3 linked regions of the Drosophila melanogaster genome follow. The protein of the gene in region 1 interacts with the protein of each later gene in a pairwise test. Each region holds a gene or a part of one and is shown in the gene's direction. Other genes may lie near its edges.

Region 1 (3,729 bases):
CCAAGTCTACGCTACGAATTTCAAACCTATTTCTACTTCGCAATCTATAGTTAAGATAACATTTATACGGCATTTAATTAACTCTAAAATTAAAAATCTAAAGTGTCAAAATGGGTAATTGAATCTATTCAAGATTTTGATTTTTATTAAATTTTAACTAAAGAACCCATTATAATTTGATATTGGTACAAAGGTTTTATATTTCCAAAAAACTTACCTGAAACATTTAATTAGGCATTTTTGCAATCAACTTTAAACTGGAGAAATTAATTTAAGTATATGGTATCCTAATGAAATAAGTGTTTCGAAAACTATTAAGATTTTTTGTCCACCACTCAGAACCTAGGTTTCAATCCATTAGTAGCTCGGTTTAGTTATATTCTCTTAAACAGACTGATTTTACTTGTATGTGAATCGCGGCCATTTATCAGAAATTTAAAATGCATTTCTTTCCAGTCCTAACTAGCTATTAAGGCCATTTAAATTCCAACTCATCCGTGTATATAGCCACTCGTAATGGTGGATAAACATGCCCAAGCATCTTAAACCAAAACCCATTAAGCATAAGTAGACCATAAGAGTTAATAGAGCATAACGTTGTAGTCAATTTGGTTTAAGCTAATATTTATTTCATAATTATGTGTGAAAGCAGAATAAAGGCAACGACTTCAAGAATGTCCCGCATTTTCATTCATTTTCCTGGCACGCGCTGGAAAATCCACTTTTCAGTTCGCCCCACTGAACAATGGGCACAAGGACGTTTTTTCGCCACCACACCATTTATAATTGTTGCGATGATGTGGTATTGTCTGTGGCCTCCACTGACGTCACTGTTGGAAAGTCAACATCACAAATAAATTGAGCGACAAACCGGGCAGACAATGAAAACATATTGGTTGCTGTGGGCTCTGCAAACAGCCAAAGGTTATGTGCTTTACTCTTATTGTCTGCAAATGGCAATTTTAACATGCCAACTCTGGATATTCATACTGTTTATGTTTGTTTTGAGGCTGGTTAAATTCATGATACGCATCAACCCTTGCGAATTCACTTGCTCCACTTCCTGACTGACATTTAATCGGTTGGGCGAGCAGATGGAAACTATGGTTACTTAATGGGATGGTTGGCAAATAAATTCATTTCAGGTCCTTTCGCACAAATACTTTTCCCTGTCGGCCATCCGCCTCATTGGACTCGACGGAGGAGGAAAAATCCATTAAGAAGCTTACTTCGGATGGCGGACAGTTGCAAAATTTTTGCAATTATGATTTTGCAATTTAATTATTAACTTTTAATTGAATTGCTATTAGCGAGTTAGTAAACAATGCCGAAGTCTTGCGAAAAAAAATTTATGGAAAATTATTTACTTAATTGGTATTCATTCTTATTTACCATGGATTTTATAATAAAAAATGTTGATTTTGTGAAACAAGTACAAAACGAAGATAAATAAATATAGTTGAACAATAAATTATGCAAATAGGAAGATATAACAATTGTTTTATAGCAATCCCATTTTGGATTTATCTTTCAAAATAAATATCTGAAAAAAAACAAGCTATTTAATTTCAAAAGAGCTTACATCCACATGATGCGAAGGCAAAGATTTCATTACAATAACATGAGCCGCCAATTTTAAATCGATCTACATCCTAAAAATTCGTCAAAAAAGTCATGTTTCCAAATTACTGCTTTACGAAATCGGCCAGACAGTCGGGCTATGATGTTTTGAAAAGAAAGGTAGTACGGCATTCCTCTCCCTCAGTGACGTCAGCCGGCAGGAGAAGGACTCGCCATCGAACGGAGCGCCAACGGAATATATCCAAGTCGAGCTCTTTGCGGGACAAGGATTCGTCCTCCAAAAGCGTAGGATTCCGGGAAACACCCGTGATTTGTTCGAGTGAAAAAGACACTCGCAATTCTGGTGGCGACGATAGAAAAACGGATAAAATGACCTCCAGTCCCAGCAACGATCCCAATCGCGATCTGCAGGAATCCTTTGCCGACTTCTTTAGCATCATTCACGATAATGTCCTGGAATCGGTACAGGATGCTGTGCGGCGAATGGTGTCCAAGAGCTTTGAGCAATCCGTGGCCAAAATGGAACGACTGTCGAAGGACCTACAGAATCAGGAGGCGATGCTCAATAAAATCTATCACGATGTCACCAACAGTAAGTTCGGTTAAAAATTTTTATTAAATAAAAATCAATTATTATAATGTAAGAAGCGTAGTAAACTGTTATATCACAACTTCACCGATGTCCTTTAGAAATTGCCGCTCAGAGTGAAGCGAGCTTGAACCAATTCAAATTCGTTACCCAAATGCTCATCGACAACCAAACCGTGCACTACAGAGCGCTCAATCAAGCGAAGGCGAACAAACAGCGGCGCAAGGAAGAGCAAGATCTGGAAAGGGACCGGAAGTTGGAACGAGAACGGAAGCGGATGTGCACTTGCAAGGAGGTGCGAAATGCACGGGTTCGTAAAAGTAGAAGTTCCAGTGTGGACCTCTCGAAAAGAAGCACTGGTGGCGAGGCAAAGGAACGAGTGCCGAAAGCCCCGCAACATCAATTGTGCCAACAGCAGGTGCCATTGGTTTATCATTTGTACAATTCCAGTACGGATCAGGAGTCTACCGCCAGGAGCAATCAGGTGTCCCGGTCGTCTTCAAGGCATGCAACTGCTCCTGATCTCCCAAGACAATCCACTTCTTACAGCATGCCAGACCTTTCCGGCCGTACTTCCCCCAATCCTACGCGGTTTAATCAGAACCAACATGCTTCAAAAGTCTCTAGAAGCAGCTCATCTAGATCTTCTAACCACAGACAGGATAATATTGTCTGCCTTCCGGCCATGACCTATCCACCTTACGTCCGCAATTGTCCAATTCCCCGGCAAAAGTTAATTCGCAAAACTGGTCAGAATAAAGGCAAATAGAAGTAGTCTTTTATGCAGCCCCTGAAACAAAAATCTGTTAAGACTCCCAATTGCATTGCACGTATATAGGAATCAAATGAATTGGGAACCCTTTTCGTGTTTTGCAATTGGTAGTCTTAGCAGCCAAAGCAAATTGAGACATCAATTTTATAGTAAAAATTTTAATAAAAACAAACAGTTTTAATTAATCTAAAATGAATGCAAGCTACTGCTGTATTTATTTACACTTTTTTAAGCCTCTTAAGCTTTTATTTACCTTTTAGGAACAAACAAAATCTCTATCGAATTATTAGGAAATATGTTGATGTATGAACTAATTCATACTTATCAATAGGAACAAAACTGTTAAGCAATGGTAACAGCAACTGCATTGCTCAACAAATCGCTTAATCGGAACTTTCACTGAGTTTTGGTACCTCAACTTTCTTGAGCTCCACGCTCTGATAGTAATTGTTTTTTCGCAAGTAGCGTTGAACAACTGGTGCCAGAAGATTCTCATCAACGTTCTTGATATCCTGACGTCCGTAGACGAAAGTAGCCAAGTTTGAAGTTATAATTGTAAGTAGGGCTCCCAACATAGCGTATAACAGGAATGACATGTGATATATAGATGATCCACTGTGAGGTTCGCTATTAAAAAAGATGTTTAATAAATATAAAAGTTTTTACCGGAAACACGAAATGTACTTACTATTCTAAAGTGGAGTTTAAGTAACGATTCATATCGAAATCATAGTCACAATTGTCCACGGAAACTGGCAGCTTGGTGTGTCGGAAGGAACCTGTTATG
Region 2 (7,882 bases), on another chromosome or scaffold:
ACGACTAAGCACAATGAAAAGCGCTTTCCAGCTTTTCAGCTGGGGGCAGAAAGTCGTGCCACAAGCCAGACTGCTAGAATCGACTTATCCGGCACTCTAAAAGTCGGAAGCTGGGATCGAAATACGATACAGATATCGCTAATGAACCGCCCCCGCCAGGTGAAAGCCGGTTTCTCATTTGCACCACCTCCTTAAGTTCTTAATTTATGTTACGCTTCCTGCTTCAGATTCAGGGCTATATATACGGTGCACCGATCGATCCAAACAAAGGGCAATTGCTGGCAAGGCGAGGAAGCAGGCATAAAACTCGGATTCGAATGGCTGAAATCAATTTATGGAGTTTTAATCACTGAATTCCCATGCAGGGAATTCCCTCAGATAACAGCAAATGCACTTTATCGACTAAAATGCAGCACACAAGGTGCAATTTTATTTCCGATCGATCAGAAGGCATTACTTCGCGATAAATTTTGAAAAGGTCTTAACTGAGAAATGTCGTTTCGCTCACACGAACTTGCAGCTGCTGCAAAATTTTACCCTGAAGTGTAATTAGTTTGCCGACTTGGCAAGTACGCGTCTCTTTTAAGCTCCAGTGACCTTCTTAGATAAGCTAATCGATTTCCTATAATCGAATAGCAATTTTAATTGATTATGACACTTCTCACTATATACTACATATAGTATTACAGACAATATGTACACACTAGACACTACAAAGTGTCATTGCGATTAAACTATTTACGTAAACATTAACGACTTTATTTTGATTGTAATAGAGCACATTCGGTGCGAAGAGTTCAAGCAACTCGAACGTGACACCATCGGTTATTATTTAGAAATTCCCTTTCGAAATGTTTGAGTTTGAGCGAATTGAAATGGCTTTTAGCAAGAATTTTTCGTAACTGGTAAAGTCATCTGCCTGACTTTTGGCTGCCACCGGGCTAACTTGGCTCACACATCTGCTCCGAGTTCGAGTGGCAGTTTCCAGCCAAAAACCAGTCTGGCCATCTTTGTGAGCCAACAGTTTCCCCCTTTTTGTACCAACCTTTTGTGCCAACTGCGTGTTAGTCTGTGTGGTCAAATGTCGGCATTTTTTATACTTTTGTGTTTATTTTTTATGTGCACGCCTTGGGCAATTTTGTCCATTGTACTGCCTGTCTGCCTGGCTGCAAAAAATTAACGTTGCAGAAATTATATTCCAGAATGGCTTCAACCGAGTGGGATACACTATGATATATAGATGGAAATGTTATATCTGAGCAGTTGGCCAGTGGTGTATTTTCTAGCAGAAATAACAATCGTAAATCGTCAAAATCCGCAGCAACTCGTGATGCTAATGAATCGGTCAACAAATTTGACGATGTCGTGATCCGCAGATTTAAAGCCGGATGAAATTGGCTTGAGCCACCCTAATGAAGGCATCAGCTGAGGCATTTCCGTTTCGCCTGTCCCTCCACTCTTTCCATGAATCGATATCCTTTAAAGGGGACACATAAGTTCCCGAAAAAATGCAATATTCTACCTACACGTCCGTTTCTCTCGTTTCACTTCCTGTTAACGCCAGCTATTTTTACCCAGACATCTCAATCACTATCTGCCCACGCACACAGACTCATGATCGCATTATTTTGGGTATTTCTTGGTATTTGCCAGAGACACATTTGTGTTGATCGTAAGACGGAATCAAGGCGAAACTACCTGAGTTCGAGGTTCATTAGCCAACCTTGCTAATCAACGGGATCTCTCTACCCAGAGGAATGCAGATATTTTTCGGGCATATACTTGGTATATTGACTGCCCAAGGGTCGCACCCAGTTTCCAATTTCCGATCGACGACGCACCCATGCACAATTTGATAACCGGGCCCCATCTGCTCTCCAATCCACATGACATTTCTGGGTAACTTGATACTTAAATGTGGGTTGGCGGGTCTCATGGGAAGCGTTTATAATTCTAATCTGTTGACAAAACCGACCACATGCCAACCGTCTGTGAACCAGTTGATAAAAACCGAAAGACAACCAATGGAGCCAAATCAAAATATACTAATAAATTGAATAGAGGTTTACGTTTAAACAAATCGTGTCTTGTATCAAGACTCGAAATCATTTTGTTAGGCGATACTCTGATACTCTGTGGAAGTGTGCCTTTAAACGAAGCGATCCAAAGTGTTTCCGTATCGGGTTACGTTAAGTACGGGGCCATTATGTATGACAGGGCCAGATCAGGGTTTATCTCGATCGAATGTCAAAGTGTTCTAGAAACAGTTTCAGGAAAGCATTTCCCCATTAGCTGGACGTTAATTAGATGCACGACACTACAAAGCACTCAGTTATAGATTTTTATTTACTGGCGGGGGAGACAGATCAATGGAGGGATGGGGCTTACCGATTGGATATATCCCGACTAGTCTAATCTTTACAGCTGTAGATAGCCGCAGCAATATGATGAATTGGCTGACTCACGAATTTCCGAGTGGAAAACGTATTTGCATACATGTACAAGTATGGCCAGTGCCAGTGCCAGTTACCGGTTTCTCTCTAAACTTGAACAGAGTCTACCCTCGTATAGCCCAGTTCAAGCGGACATCTGTGTATACAGACATATATACATACATATATCGCTGCAATGACAGAAATGGAATTAATTATGGTCGGAGTGTCGGCGGCGCCTTGGCCAAAGCTAAAGCCAAAGCCAATTTCAAGCGAGCCAAAAACCGCTGTCTTTCTTGACTCGATGAAATGTGTTAGCCGAGAGACCTAAACACGTTTAATGCGATCTCGAGACTGCAGTTTTCCCTTCGCGCTTGTGTCAGGCTCCCAGTCAACCTGACACCCACTCGCAACGCGGAGCTGGCTGCTAAGCGGTTTGCTGTGGGGTCTAATGAAATGCTCTAACATACGATATGTGCGCACATATGTTCCCATAGCCGCCATACTGTGTATTGGCTGGATAAATGCGATCTATTCTGGCCGCCTTAACTGCGCATTTTGCATTTTACACTTTGCTGGCGGAGTCGGATCTCTCGCGATCCCGGGTCGTTTGCCTGGTTACGAAAAGCAATAATACCCAAAGCTCTTTGTTTACCACTCGGCGAGCCACGGTCTCGAATTATGTGTTTGCTTTGCCATGAAAACGAAGGCAAACACAGGCGGTCTTTCAATAGGGCCATCCGCCATGGAATCCGCATCGAATGGGTGGAAAATGCATTCCAAAACTACGTAAATTGCATAAGAGACCTGGAGAGCGTCGAGTTTTCAGTCTGGTTTTGAGAATTTCTTAGAATCAGCGAGCTGGCAAACGAGTTCATAATCGGCGTCAAGAAACGCTCAGTGGGGATTCCCTCATATCGAATCGATTCCAAAAAGCACAATGTGATTACCCAATCGTTTAGTTAGGGTAACCAAACCAGTCGCGTGCAATCAAAGGGCAAGCAAACTGAAACTCAAATAAACAAGCTCCAGTTGATGACAGACCAACTCGAATCGCGAGATTGAGAGTCAGCAATTCTCCAGAAACTATTTTCGGCATATGCATTACTGTTAGATGATGTATACAGTACTAATCAATAAGGGAAGTACTTTGCGGATACGGTAGTGCGAATTGTGCTTTCACTGGATTCTGAGTAACGTGTTGAAAATACGCAGCGAATCATATGGGGTGCAAAACAATTGCCATTAAACGATAAGCAAACATTTGGAAATTCGTCGATTCGAATGTAGTGTACCTACTAAATTAGCATGCGAAATGATGTCAACTCTCCGGGTGCCAATGTGCTAATTGGGGCAGTCAACTTGGCTCACCATTTCGTCATGCAGATCGGTGATTTTTAAGGAAATAGGTGGACAATGTGCGCATTCTGAGACCAGCCATGAGCTCGGCCACCTCTCCAGAATGTGGTTGATTCAATAAACGCATATCTACTTATCTGGCTCCAGCAATTAGCGATAAGATAGGGCCCGTTGGGTGTGAGTCGTCTGTTTTTGTCATTTTCTCAGAAGCGGCCATTACTGTACTGTATAACGTTGAATTTCCTGGTCCATTTCAGTTTGCCCATCTACAGGAAAATGAGTCGCCAGTCGACTTGCAGGCTAGTCCTGCTGCTGGCCTTTACCCTGGCCCTAATCCACGCCAGCCACTCAAATACCGTGGGCCCCAAGATCCACTTCATTCATGACGATCTGACGGAAAACGAGCTGAACTCTGGAGAGGAGGTGAGCCCGACCGAGAGTCTGCCCAAAATCTCCACCCCCAAGGTAAAGGATTTACCCGTGGAGACGACCACCAGGAGCCCCACAAAAAAAACCACGTCCTCCGGCACCGAGAAGTCCCTTAGCGAGGAGGCTTGGAATGATCTGATGGAGGCGGCCAAGCACAGCCAAGCTTTGGCTGATGATCCACACTTCAACAAGATGCTCAATACTACCGTCGCCGCCGGGGAGAAGAACTCCACCGATACCGACGATAGCGAATACTATGACTACGATGATGATTACAACTATTTCGATGAGGAGACGGTGACGATTTCCCCCAGTCCCAAGAAGGCCAAGAGCAACCCCAAGCTGCAGCCCATTGTGGATGCCACCATCACGAAGTCCAAGGTATACTTCCCCCATCATCCTTAAATTCAAATAAATATGTTTTCGTACTTTACAGAGCAAATCCAACGACCAAAAGACCAAAGAGAGTGCTAACGATATCGACAGCGACTCTCAATATGACTACGACGAGGGTCTGGATGATGATGATGACGAGGACGATGCCGCTGACGACCTTTTGACCGATGATGAGCAAGTTGTCTTCAGCGAGGACGTTCCGTGTCCAAGATTCTGCCAGTGTGCCCGGAATGTCAACAGCTATCTGGTGGCCACCTGCAGCAGACTTGACATGGGCATCCAGAAGTTTGGCTCTGACATTACGGATTTGGTTGTGACCAATGTGGGTCCTAAGTACCCCATCCTGATGGGACCCAACTTCTTCCAGAATCTGGGTCTTAAGAACGTGGCTTCCATCAAGATCGCCAACTGCACCTTGGAGTACCTGCACGCCGAGGCCTTCCACGGACTGAACGAGCTGTACGCTGTTAACTTGACGGATGTTGGTTTGGCTATCATTAATCCCGATACCTTTGTTGGAAACAAGAAACTGCGCATGCTGACCATTTCGGGTAACGACTTGAGTGTGATGTCCAGCATTCACTATTTGCTGAAGGTGAGTGATTTCAAAAACCTTTACCTTGAAATCCAGCTAATAAATTATAATTTTGCAGTCTTCCAGCATTGAGGAGCTGGACTTCTCGCGCAACAACCTTATGGAGTTGAATCCCAAGGCCTTCTCCCATCTATCCAATGTCGTCTACATTAACTTGAGCCAGAACAGTCTCAAGAAACTGCCCGAGAAGGCTTTCGAGAAGGTTACTCTTCTGGAAGAATTGGATCTGTCTTACAACTCGCTGACTGAATTGCCCCGCGATATCTTCAATGGCACCACCCTGTCCATACTGCACCTGAAGTACAATACCTTCAATGGCGATCTGCACTTTGGCACCAAGGATCTGCAGCAGCTGGACTTGAGCTTTAACTCGATTGTCCAAGTGCACCACAGCATGTTCGACAAGATGCCCGGTCTGACCAACCTGAACCTCAAGGGCAATGGCATTAAGAAGATCCAACCGGACTCGTTCCTTACTTTGAAGAACCTGCGCCACATCGATTTGTCCATCAACGATCTGGACCAGATCTCGGGAATGCTGTTCTTTAAGAACTCTGAGCTGGATGTGATCCGTTTGAACGACAATCCTCGTCTGAGCCAGTTGCCCACCGATGGCTTCTTGAGCTACAGTGGGGAGTTCACCGTCTACTACCTGGATATTTCCAATTGCGCCATCGGTCCATTGGGTCACAAGGCCTTCTCCACTATGCCGCATTTGACCACCTTGAAGTTGGCCTGGAACAACATTAATCATCTGCCGCGCGAGATTTTCACTGGACTGCACAAGCTGATTGACTTGGATCTGAGCAACAACCTGATCACCCGCATGGACGATCTGATCTTCATGGACAACGGAGAGCTGACTAAGCTCAGTCTGGCTGGAAATCCCATTAGCCGCTTGTCCGTCCGCCTCTTCCTGCCGCTGCACCAACTGCGATGCCTGGACGTCAATGACTGCGAGCTTACCACCTTGCTCTCCGATCGCGACTTGGGTGCGGGTTACAAGATCTTTGACAGCCTGCGCTCCTTTAACGCCTCTGGTAATTTGATCAAGAAGATCTCTTCGGAGGATGTGAAGAGCTTCAAGAACCTGCGTTCTCTGGATATCACCAACAATCCGCTGAAGTGCACTCCCGACTTCCAGGAGTTCATCAGCTACGTCACTCTTCAGATGCAGATGACTCCCAAGCGTCTGCCCGTGCTGGCCAATCTGGAGGACGATGCTACTATTGTGCAGCTGGAGACTCTGGCTCAGGCTGGTTGGTCGTCTTTGGCCCACGAGGTGTGCAAGCATGCCGAAGGATCAGATCTCTTGGACGAAAAGAAGGCCGACAGTGCCGAAGCCAAACTGGAGAAGCGTCTGAAGGAAAGCGTGAAGAAGCTTAACGAGGATGAGGCTAAGTTGCTGAGTGTCCTGGACAAGAGTGTGCTAGACAAGAGCAGGCTGAGCAGCATGCAGAAGATCATGAAGGGATCGGTGAACACTGAAACCGCGAAGCCTGAGGAAGATGCTGACGAGGAGAATCTGAACAATGGCGGCGAGGATAAGGAGGATGACAGCAGTGACTATGACAGTGAGGAGGATGATGATGACGATGATGAGGACGATGATGATGACAACAACGATGATGATCGCTTCGAGGAGGCCAAGAAGAATGCCAAGGCTAAGGCCGATGCTAACAAGGCCTTCGACACGTTCGTGAACAAGGAACTGAAGCCAGTCCTGAAGACCGATGGTATCCAGGCGGAGGAAGTGGACATGTCTCAGGAGACCCGTGATAAATTCCTTCTGGGTAAGTTTTAGCCAATCATTCGTTGATGGAATGTATTCCAATCGTATGTTTTACCTTCTCAGAGAAACTGGGCTTCGACAGCGAAAGCGAGGAGTCAGATGAGTACACCGAGAAGATGATCTTCCACGGCGAACTATCCTACGACCTGGTGGTCCCACTGATCGTCGTGTCCTTCTGCCTCCTGATGATCGTGCTGTCCATCGCCCGAGTGATCTACGTGGTGCTGCGCAAGCGCGGCGAGCGCTATCGCATGGCGCTGCTGGCCTCAAAGAACTCGTTCGTATACCAGAAGTTGAGCGAGGACATCGTGAAGCCGACCAGCAAGGAGCAGAAGGAGCCCAAGCATCTGAAGCAGCCAAAGGTGCACCGATACGCGCCCATCAATCAGGTCTAAGTCCACCTAGAATCAGCAGTTCCGGGCCGGTGGCCGCGGAAATCGAACGAGTTGCGCTGTTTTTCTAATTTATAAGTATATTGATAGTTGAAAAAGTGGAAAATCACATCAGACAATTGACTAAACACAAGCACAAGAATGTAAGAAACAGGAGGAGGAGCAGTAGGTGGCAGTTAAAAGTATTAGCGAAAGTGCGAGGAAACAAAGCAACAACTAAAAAATACTTGAATCCAAATAAGAGATTGAAAGAGAGAGAATAAATCTTTGACAAAATCCTTTATCCTTGAAATATCCTGTACCATCAAATACTGTTAAGACCAGTCAAAGGTCCTTGGCAACAGCAGAGGTGGGCTTTCAGAGAACGCGTTTGATGAGCAACCGTTTCGAAAGCAACGGATTTGCAATTTATCAAACCTCTGCCCACAATCCGTATCCAATTAGTCCATATCCGGGAACAACTTGAAGATTTAGTGCCATTTTGCCA
Region 3 (7,150 bases), on another chromosome or scaffold:
GCCGAGAAAAGCTTTTCCAAGCGGTCGGAAAGGGGTGAAAAGCTGGGCTGGCTGGCAGGTCCGTATGCTAGCGGTAAATTGCAGGGCAACAAAGTTGTAAACAAATCGTTAAAGTGCTGGAAATAACTGGGTTGGTGGTCTGCTGTCAGGCGGAATACATAAACCCTGACAGTTTTGGCCTAAGGAGTGAGTCCTTTTGAGCTTTGTCGAGCTTTTCGCGTGTGAATAACAATATGAGTGTTTGGATAATGACATATCAAATGACCGTTGGAGGGAAACGTAAGAGCTTAAGTAATCATTTCTTATTTTTTATTAACAATATTGTTTAAATATTTTGTTTGCTCGGAAGTCATTTAGTCAAGAGTAAATTGTGCATTCTAACGAAACTGAAACAGGTATATTTATCTATTTATATTTAAATATGCATAAATGCTTATTTTATTTCTGAAGTAAATTAAAAAAAATAGCTGTTCAAATCTATACCGGAAGTAGCATGCGCCACCTAGCGAGTAGCCCACGAAGCTTGTTCAAATGTCCGAAAAGCTCGCCTAATAAATTTGAAATGTAAACAAATGTTGTTGGAAAGCTTGTTGGCAACTCGGGCGGCAGCAACAACTACACAAAAGCAGCGATGTTAGCGGCAGAGAAATTGCAAAGCTTTGTGAGCAACAACAACATGATTTTTGTTTGCTCGCTTTGTTGTTGGTTCTGAGAGCGACAGCTGTTGTAGTGTCCGTGAGAGCGCAGTTTATGTTTGTGTGCGGTGCTGAGTAAGCAACTGTTGTTGTTTCAATGTTCCCTGAGAGTTAGAGCAAAGAAGAAGAAGAAGCGCACAATGGAATTATGATCACTGGAAATTCGCAGGTAAGTTTTCAGGTAAACTATTTGGGTTCCTGTGTTTTATTTTTTTTGTCAGAGTTACAGCGTAAAAAATGTGTATTTTCTATTTGCGACTGTCACCTGTTCACTAACATATTTTGGGGAAAACCAATTATACATGTTAATGGACGTGGAAATAAATAGAAACATTACCATTAGACAGTAATAATAAGCCTGAAGTTATATTCAACATAACAATCAACATACATATGTAAAAATTGTATTGCCCAACAAAAAGATCTTGAACATGATATATCTTTTGAAAATCCATTTGAATCAATCGATTTCGATCAGGATTACCTAGTAGTCCGCTGATCCTTTGAGAGATCCTTTCGGGGTGGGTGACTAGCCTCTAACGACAGGCAACACTCTTGATGCAGTGCAACTATTTTTGTTGGCCTGTGTCCCTTTCCTACCCTCCACAACCGACAACCAACTCATTGTATCTGTATCTTTGCATTTCGTACCGCGCAGTTGCCGTTTCTCCGACTCGAAAACACTCGTCATTCGTGTGCGTGTGCATTGTTTGTCTTATTTGTTGTTCGTTGCCAGCAACAACAATAAAAAGTTCCCTGCTGTTGAGCAGCCAGCTGTGTGTGTTTGTATTGGCGCATTGGTGTGTGTCCGTGTTAGTATCTGTGTGTGTGCGGCGGAGAGTGTGCGTTGTTCTCTGTTTGCTCGCCGTCCACTCGTGTCATGTTGTTGCTGTTGCTTCAGTGTTCTACGTAGCCGATAGATACTGGTTGATACACTGAGGGAATACGTGTTTAATTGGTACTTGTTTGAACCTCATAACTATTAAATTAATACCGCTTACATGGATCATTAATAAAGTCTGCAAATAATTTTATATTTTTCCCTTTAATTAAGTTTGGGGCTAATAATACATTACCAATTTAAAACATCTTTATATTACATTTCACAATTGCCAAGTGACAACTCTATTTCTCTCAGTGCACCGCTCGCTCTCGCAGGGCAGCAGTCGCATTTGTGGCTGTGTCTGTGTGTTTTTCTCTGTGTGCTTAGTCGCCTTGGTCGCTTGGTACGCGAAACATACGACATTGCCAACAATCCAACAGTCCGCCGCCGATTCCCGAGCGCCGTGCACCGTCGACTCGACCGCGAGTTTTCGAATTCAACATTTTTGAACGTTACGTCAGTCGTCGGTCGCTGCAGCAGCAGCAGCAACAAAAATATTTTTGGCGCCGTTTTATTTGTGTGCCGTGCATCGTGTCGTTTTGAAATCGCTGCGAGCAAGGAGTTGTTGCGTTTTGAAATCGCCTCTGCAACAGGAGTTTTTCTGTAATCCAACGACGAATACCAACCAAAAGGTAATGAATTCTTTGCTTGGAACAACATCACAAGTTAGGAACAACAGCAACAATAACAGCCTGATAAGCAGCAGAAAGAAAAATTCTATATGCCATATTGTTTCCTTGTGTGCGATTGCCTGTGAATGTGTGTGTGTATTGTGTGTATTGTTGTTGTTGTTGTTGTCTATCTAACAAAGTTATTGCGATTGTTGTTGTTGCTGTCATTGGGCCACGGAATATACAATATACTGTATGTATTTTTGTTGGTGGAGGGAAACAAAGAGCGGGCCGGGTATTTCTGCAAGTTTTCTGTGTTTTGTTAGCTTTAGAAATAAATTCTTTTTTTTTGTTGTTGTTTTTGTTTTCCGTTGGGTTTTGTGTTTGGCTGTTGCTGATTCTGTGTTTTTCGATTTGTACGTTGCTGTACTTTTTGCTGAGCCCCGTTGTTAATAGATAAACATGAACATTTCTCAAGGAATTAGTACGCGCTCATGCTGATATGTTTATGTTAAATAGACGTAATACAATAAATATTGCCATATAGCCCAGGTTAGTTGTTTTTCTGCCCCTTCCAGTCGCCATTCCCATTCCATTCCATTTTCCCCCCGCCCACACCGCACACAGCAATCCAACAATAACATTAACAAAAACAACAACGGGCAGAGCCAAAACACGCGAGCAACGTTCGCCTTGATAATGATGTTCGCTGATAATAATGATGACTGGCCAAAGAACACAACAATGCTGCCAGCGCACAGTGGGACCAAAGTGTTACGAAAATGGAAAGCAATATTAATTTTTTGTTTGGTTCAGCTTAGAGTGCTAGAGTTTTCTCTTGCTACTTTTTTATGTCCGAAAAAATAGAAAACTTATTGGACTCTGAACCTGATATTAAGATTAATAGTTGAAGGGAATTATTACCTACGATTTTCCAGAGATTTACTTACAGATGTCCAAAAAATATATATATACATATAAAATACCATCTAATAGGTTTCCAAGCAATGTGGAAATTGTTATTATATTTTTCCTTGATATACTTTTGGTAATGCCCTTTTTCGATTACTTCCATCCCACTGTGCGCACGTTTTTCGCTTTGCAAAACTGGTGGGCCCAAAAGGTGCTGAAAGTGGCGGGAAAACTGTCGGAGATTTAAGAGCGGCCCAAGTGTCGCCGCGATAGAAAGGGGCTGACGGCAAAAGGGTAGGCAGTCGAGTGAATGGACAGGTGGAGTGGGCTGATTAGAATCGAAACAGGTAGTCGCAGGTGCGAGAGCGAATCGTTTGCAAGTAGTGAGCAGTGAGTGCGGTGGGTACTCGCACACATATTCGTGACTATTCAGCGGATTTGGTTTTGGCCAACATGTTTTCGGATATTGCAACACAACATTGCTTGCTGCACTGAATTGCTGCTGCTGCAGCAGAGTGTTGCTGTTGTTGCTGAAGCATTCTGTTGTTGTTGTTACTGTTGTTTTGTTGCTGCTGCTTTAGTTGTGCTGTTGTTGCTGTTATCAGTGAAGCAGACAAAAGCTTTCAGCTTTCGACGCCAGCAGCAACAGCAACAGAAACAAACGGCAACAAAAACACAAACAAGCAGCACAAACAGCCAGATTGCCTGTTATTTTTATGGCCGCTGCCATTGTCGCTGCTGTGGCTATAATAATATGAAAAGTAAACAAAGTTGCTGGCTGTCGTCGTTTCGCCGCCGAGTTGTCAACATCAACGCAACGCAATGCTTTCCTATCCTATCCAGCTAGCCAAACTGTACTGAATATAATGGCAACTACAGCTACAACTACAACTACAACGACAACAACGGCCACGGCTACAACAATGTTTTATTAAGTTTCACGAAATATATATGAGCGAAAAGCTCTATGCCTCGTTTGCTGAGACAGCAGCAACAGACAGCGGAACAGAACTGAACAGAACACAACTGAACCGAACTGAACAGAAACCAACACACAAACAAATAACACGACAAAACGAAAAGAAACCGAACACAAAACCCCAGCAGAAAAGGCAAAAAAGCTGAAAAAGAGTCGTTGAGAATTCTGTTTGTTTGCCAGCTCAAAAATAAATAGGATTGTATATAAATACATATGTATGTATGGTACATACATACATCGATAGGAAAGTCTAAAAATCAAATATTGGAGTGGCTAACTTAACTTGAAGTTGCCATTTCTTGAGATCATAACGTGCAACATGACAGCAAACCCGTTCAAACCCCTGGTAATCGCTGTTTATTTTAACATTTCTCTAAATAGACTTCAAATTTAAAACGTATCTTTTAGTGGCTCTGTGAGGGACGATACCGCCAACGAATATGACCACCTCAACCCGCAGCAGCAGCAACAACCACAGCAGCGAGCACGAGGAGCGAACCTCCAACGGCACCACCGCCTACAACCACCACAGTCCAACGGGTTCGGGATCCGGAACAGCAGGCGCCTCTATTGGATCCACCAACCGAGTGATGCAGGCGGACGAGGACTTCAACATCCGCTTCGTCAACCTGGTGCGCACCCACAAGTGTCTCTACGACAAGAAGGTGCCCGAGTACCGCAACAGGTGAGTGGCGAGTCCATCGGCTGCCAGAAGATACGATCCAGATCGTTCCGTACGTTCAGTCTTAACTAATTTAAATAACTTTTTACAGGGATAATCAGGAAAAGGCTTGGGTGCTTATTTCAAAGGAGACAAGAGAAAGCGGTAAGCAATAATAGGAAAAACATTAATCCCTTAAATTAATCAGAACTTTCATAATCTTTAGTGATCCATTGCAAGGAGCGATGGCGAAACCTTCGGGCCTGCCTATCCCGCTACATAAAGCAGCAATCCGGATCGGAGCCGCAGCACAAGCCATACTACCTGACCGAGCACATGGCGTTCCTGCTGCCCTTCCTGAAGTCCAGCCGTAACTCTTTGGAGGGGAACAACAGTCTGGCCACTCTGTACCAGATGTCCCAGCAGCATTTGCAGCATCAACCATTTCTCCTGCATCCAGCACTCCATGCGACCGAGGAGCACAAGTACTGCGCCAACACTAGCATCAATAATAATAATAATAACAACGACGTCCATAATGGTGAGAGTATGGAGGTCTTGGAGATGAAGTACTCGATATCGGAGAAGGACGATGAGGAGACCATCGACGCCTTTGATCCCGCGGTTACCAACACCCTGGGTATGAATCGTACTTCGTCCACGCCCACTCGCAGTTCTGCCCTTCAAGGAGGCGGAGGCAATTCACCGGCCAGAAGCGATACCGCTAGTGCGGATAGCATGAAAAACTTCATTCCAGATGTGCAGCTGGCCGAGACGGGCTCGCAACTCATCTACAGCGATGGTGGACATGGCACACCACCGCCTCTGCACTACCATCCGCACTCGCATCCACATCCTTTGACATTGTCCATGGATCATCACCCAGCATCCTACGAACCGGGGAGCACGAAAAGAATCAAGACGGAATGCGAGGCCACCAGCACGATGACGAATGCAGGAAGTATTTACGGCGGACTGAGTTCGTCGGAAGTGGCGGACATGGAGTTCTTCCGCAGCATTCTCCCAGATCTGGCGACTCTCACTCCACAGCAACGTCGCAAGTTCAAGATTGGCATTCTGGAGCTAATTGACGACGTTGTAACCCGATATCCCGCCCAGGATCACAGCAACGGAGGAGGCGTATCTGGCGTAGTCAACGGAAGTGGCGGTAGCAGCAATGGGGGATCTGTTAAGCATCAAAGGCGCAGCTCTGGACGCGATTGGAGGAAACAATAAAGGAATAGAAAGTGTATCGGAAAGTCACTAATCCTTAACTAGGGATAGGATAAGTTTAGTTAGAAGCTTAAGGGGGATCTGAAGCTGGAATGGGTACTAATTCGAATCTGAGCTACTTCAGTCCGCTCACTGTTAATGTGTTGTGTCTACTCAATAAGATGGGTATGTTTTCAAAGGCCTTCAATTCTTTCAAGTCCGCGAATTGTTTCGATTTTGACCAACCATTATGAATGGTCCATTTACAAAGAGCTGCAAGAACTTGCATGACCAAATATATACATATATATATGAACAACTAATATATACATTTAAAGCTATTCCGAAATCGAACACATTCAACGAACAAGAAGTAATGAGGTCTCCTTATAAGCCATTTAGTTCTGACGTAGCAGTTAAGGAATTGTGAAAATAGATTTCAAGATTTTAGAAAATGGCTGCTTCGAAAATATGTTAGTTTAAGGACACTGTATATACGCTGCTATTGAAACCTAAACTATAGAATCTGTGTACAAATGAATTTCCGTTTGAGTAAACAAAGAGGGATAAAGAGATAGATCGATATCAAACTGCTGTGTGTAATAATAAACAAATGAAAGTATGGAAAATTACACGGTAAACTTTAATTTAATTGTCGACAACTTCAACAGAGGGCTTTTTATTGGGCCTTGCCCCATTTTTTAGGCAGCGATGGACCACAATAGGTTTCCTTTCTGAGAGAAATGCACAAGGACACGACTTATCTTCGCACTAAAAGCTAAATTTCGTTAGCGGCTCTACGGAGGCTGGGATCGGATTGGATCGGATCTACAACTTCGAGGAGCCAGTCTTGGGGTAGAACTTCTTCGACGGGTCCTTAGCCATGTCGAGCAGGGTCTGAGCGGGCTTGAAGGGAGCTCCGTACAGCTCAGCATAGGATTGCATCTTGCTGACCAGTTTGCCGGCTCCATACTGATCGACCCAGCGGAAGGGACCACCGGAGAATGGCGGGAAGCCCAGGCCGAACACGGCTCCGACATCGCCCTCCAGCGGACTGTCCAGAATCTTCTCCTCCAGACAGAGCACGGCTTCGTTGATGAAGCGGGATACCATACGCAGCGTCAGATCCTCGGGGGCATTGGCTCCCTTTGAGACTAAAGCGTACTTTTGTTTCACGATTTCGAGAGCATCGTTGTT

The links.
Region 2: the proteins of CG14546 (region 1) and Gp150 interact in a two-hybrid assay, tested with the Drosophila melanogaster proteins (one large-scale study listed by BioGRID).
Region 3: the proteins of CG14546 (region 1) and brwl interact in a two-hybrid assay, tested with the Drosophila melanogaster proteins (one large-scale study listed by BioGRID).

Annotation. Positions count from the first base shown.
Region 1 is NT_033777.3:25,920,443-25,924,171, reverse strand, and holds CG14546 (uncharacterized protein), read left to right. Parts: upstream 1-1,537; 5' UTR 1,538-1,674; coding exon 1,675-2,173; intron 2,174-2,271; coding exon 2,272-2,939; 3' UTR 2,940-3,130; downstream 3,131-3,729.
Region 2 is NT_033778.4:22,321,127-22,329,008, forward strand, and holds the start of Gp150 (Gp150), read left to right. Parts: upstream 1-1,776; 5' UTR 1,777-1,843; coding exon 1,844-1,899; intron 1,900-3,991; exon of another isoform or gene 3,992-4,048; coding exon 4,049-4,601; intron 4,602-4,656; coding exon 4,657-5,211; intron 5,212-5,269; coding exon 5,270-7,004; intron 7,005-7,066; coding exon 7,067-7,398; 3' UTR 7,399-7,882.
Region 3 is NT_033779.5:9,566,989-9,574,138, forward strand, and holds brwl (brickwall), read left to right. Parts: upstream 1-1,901; 5' UTR 1,902-2,210; intron 2,211-3,282; exon of another isoform or gene 3,283-4,426; intron 4,427-4,488; 5' UTR 4,489-4,520; coding exon 4,521-4,765; intron 4,766-4,853; coding exon 4,854-4,906; intron 4,907-4,967; coding exon 4,968-5,977; 3' UTR 5,978-6,584; downstream 6,585-7,150. Other genes in the region: Mtpalpha (mitochondrial trifunctional protein alpha subunit), read right to left, coding at 6,782-7,150.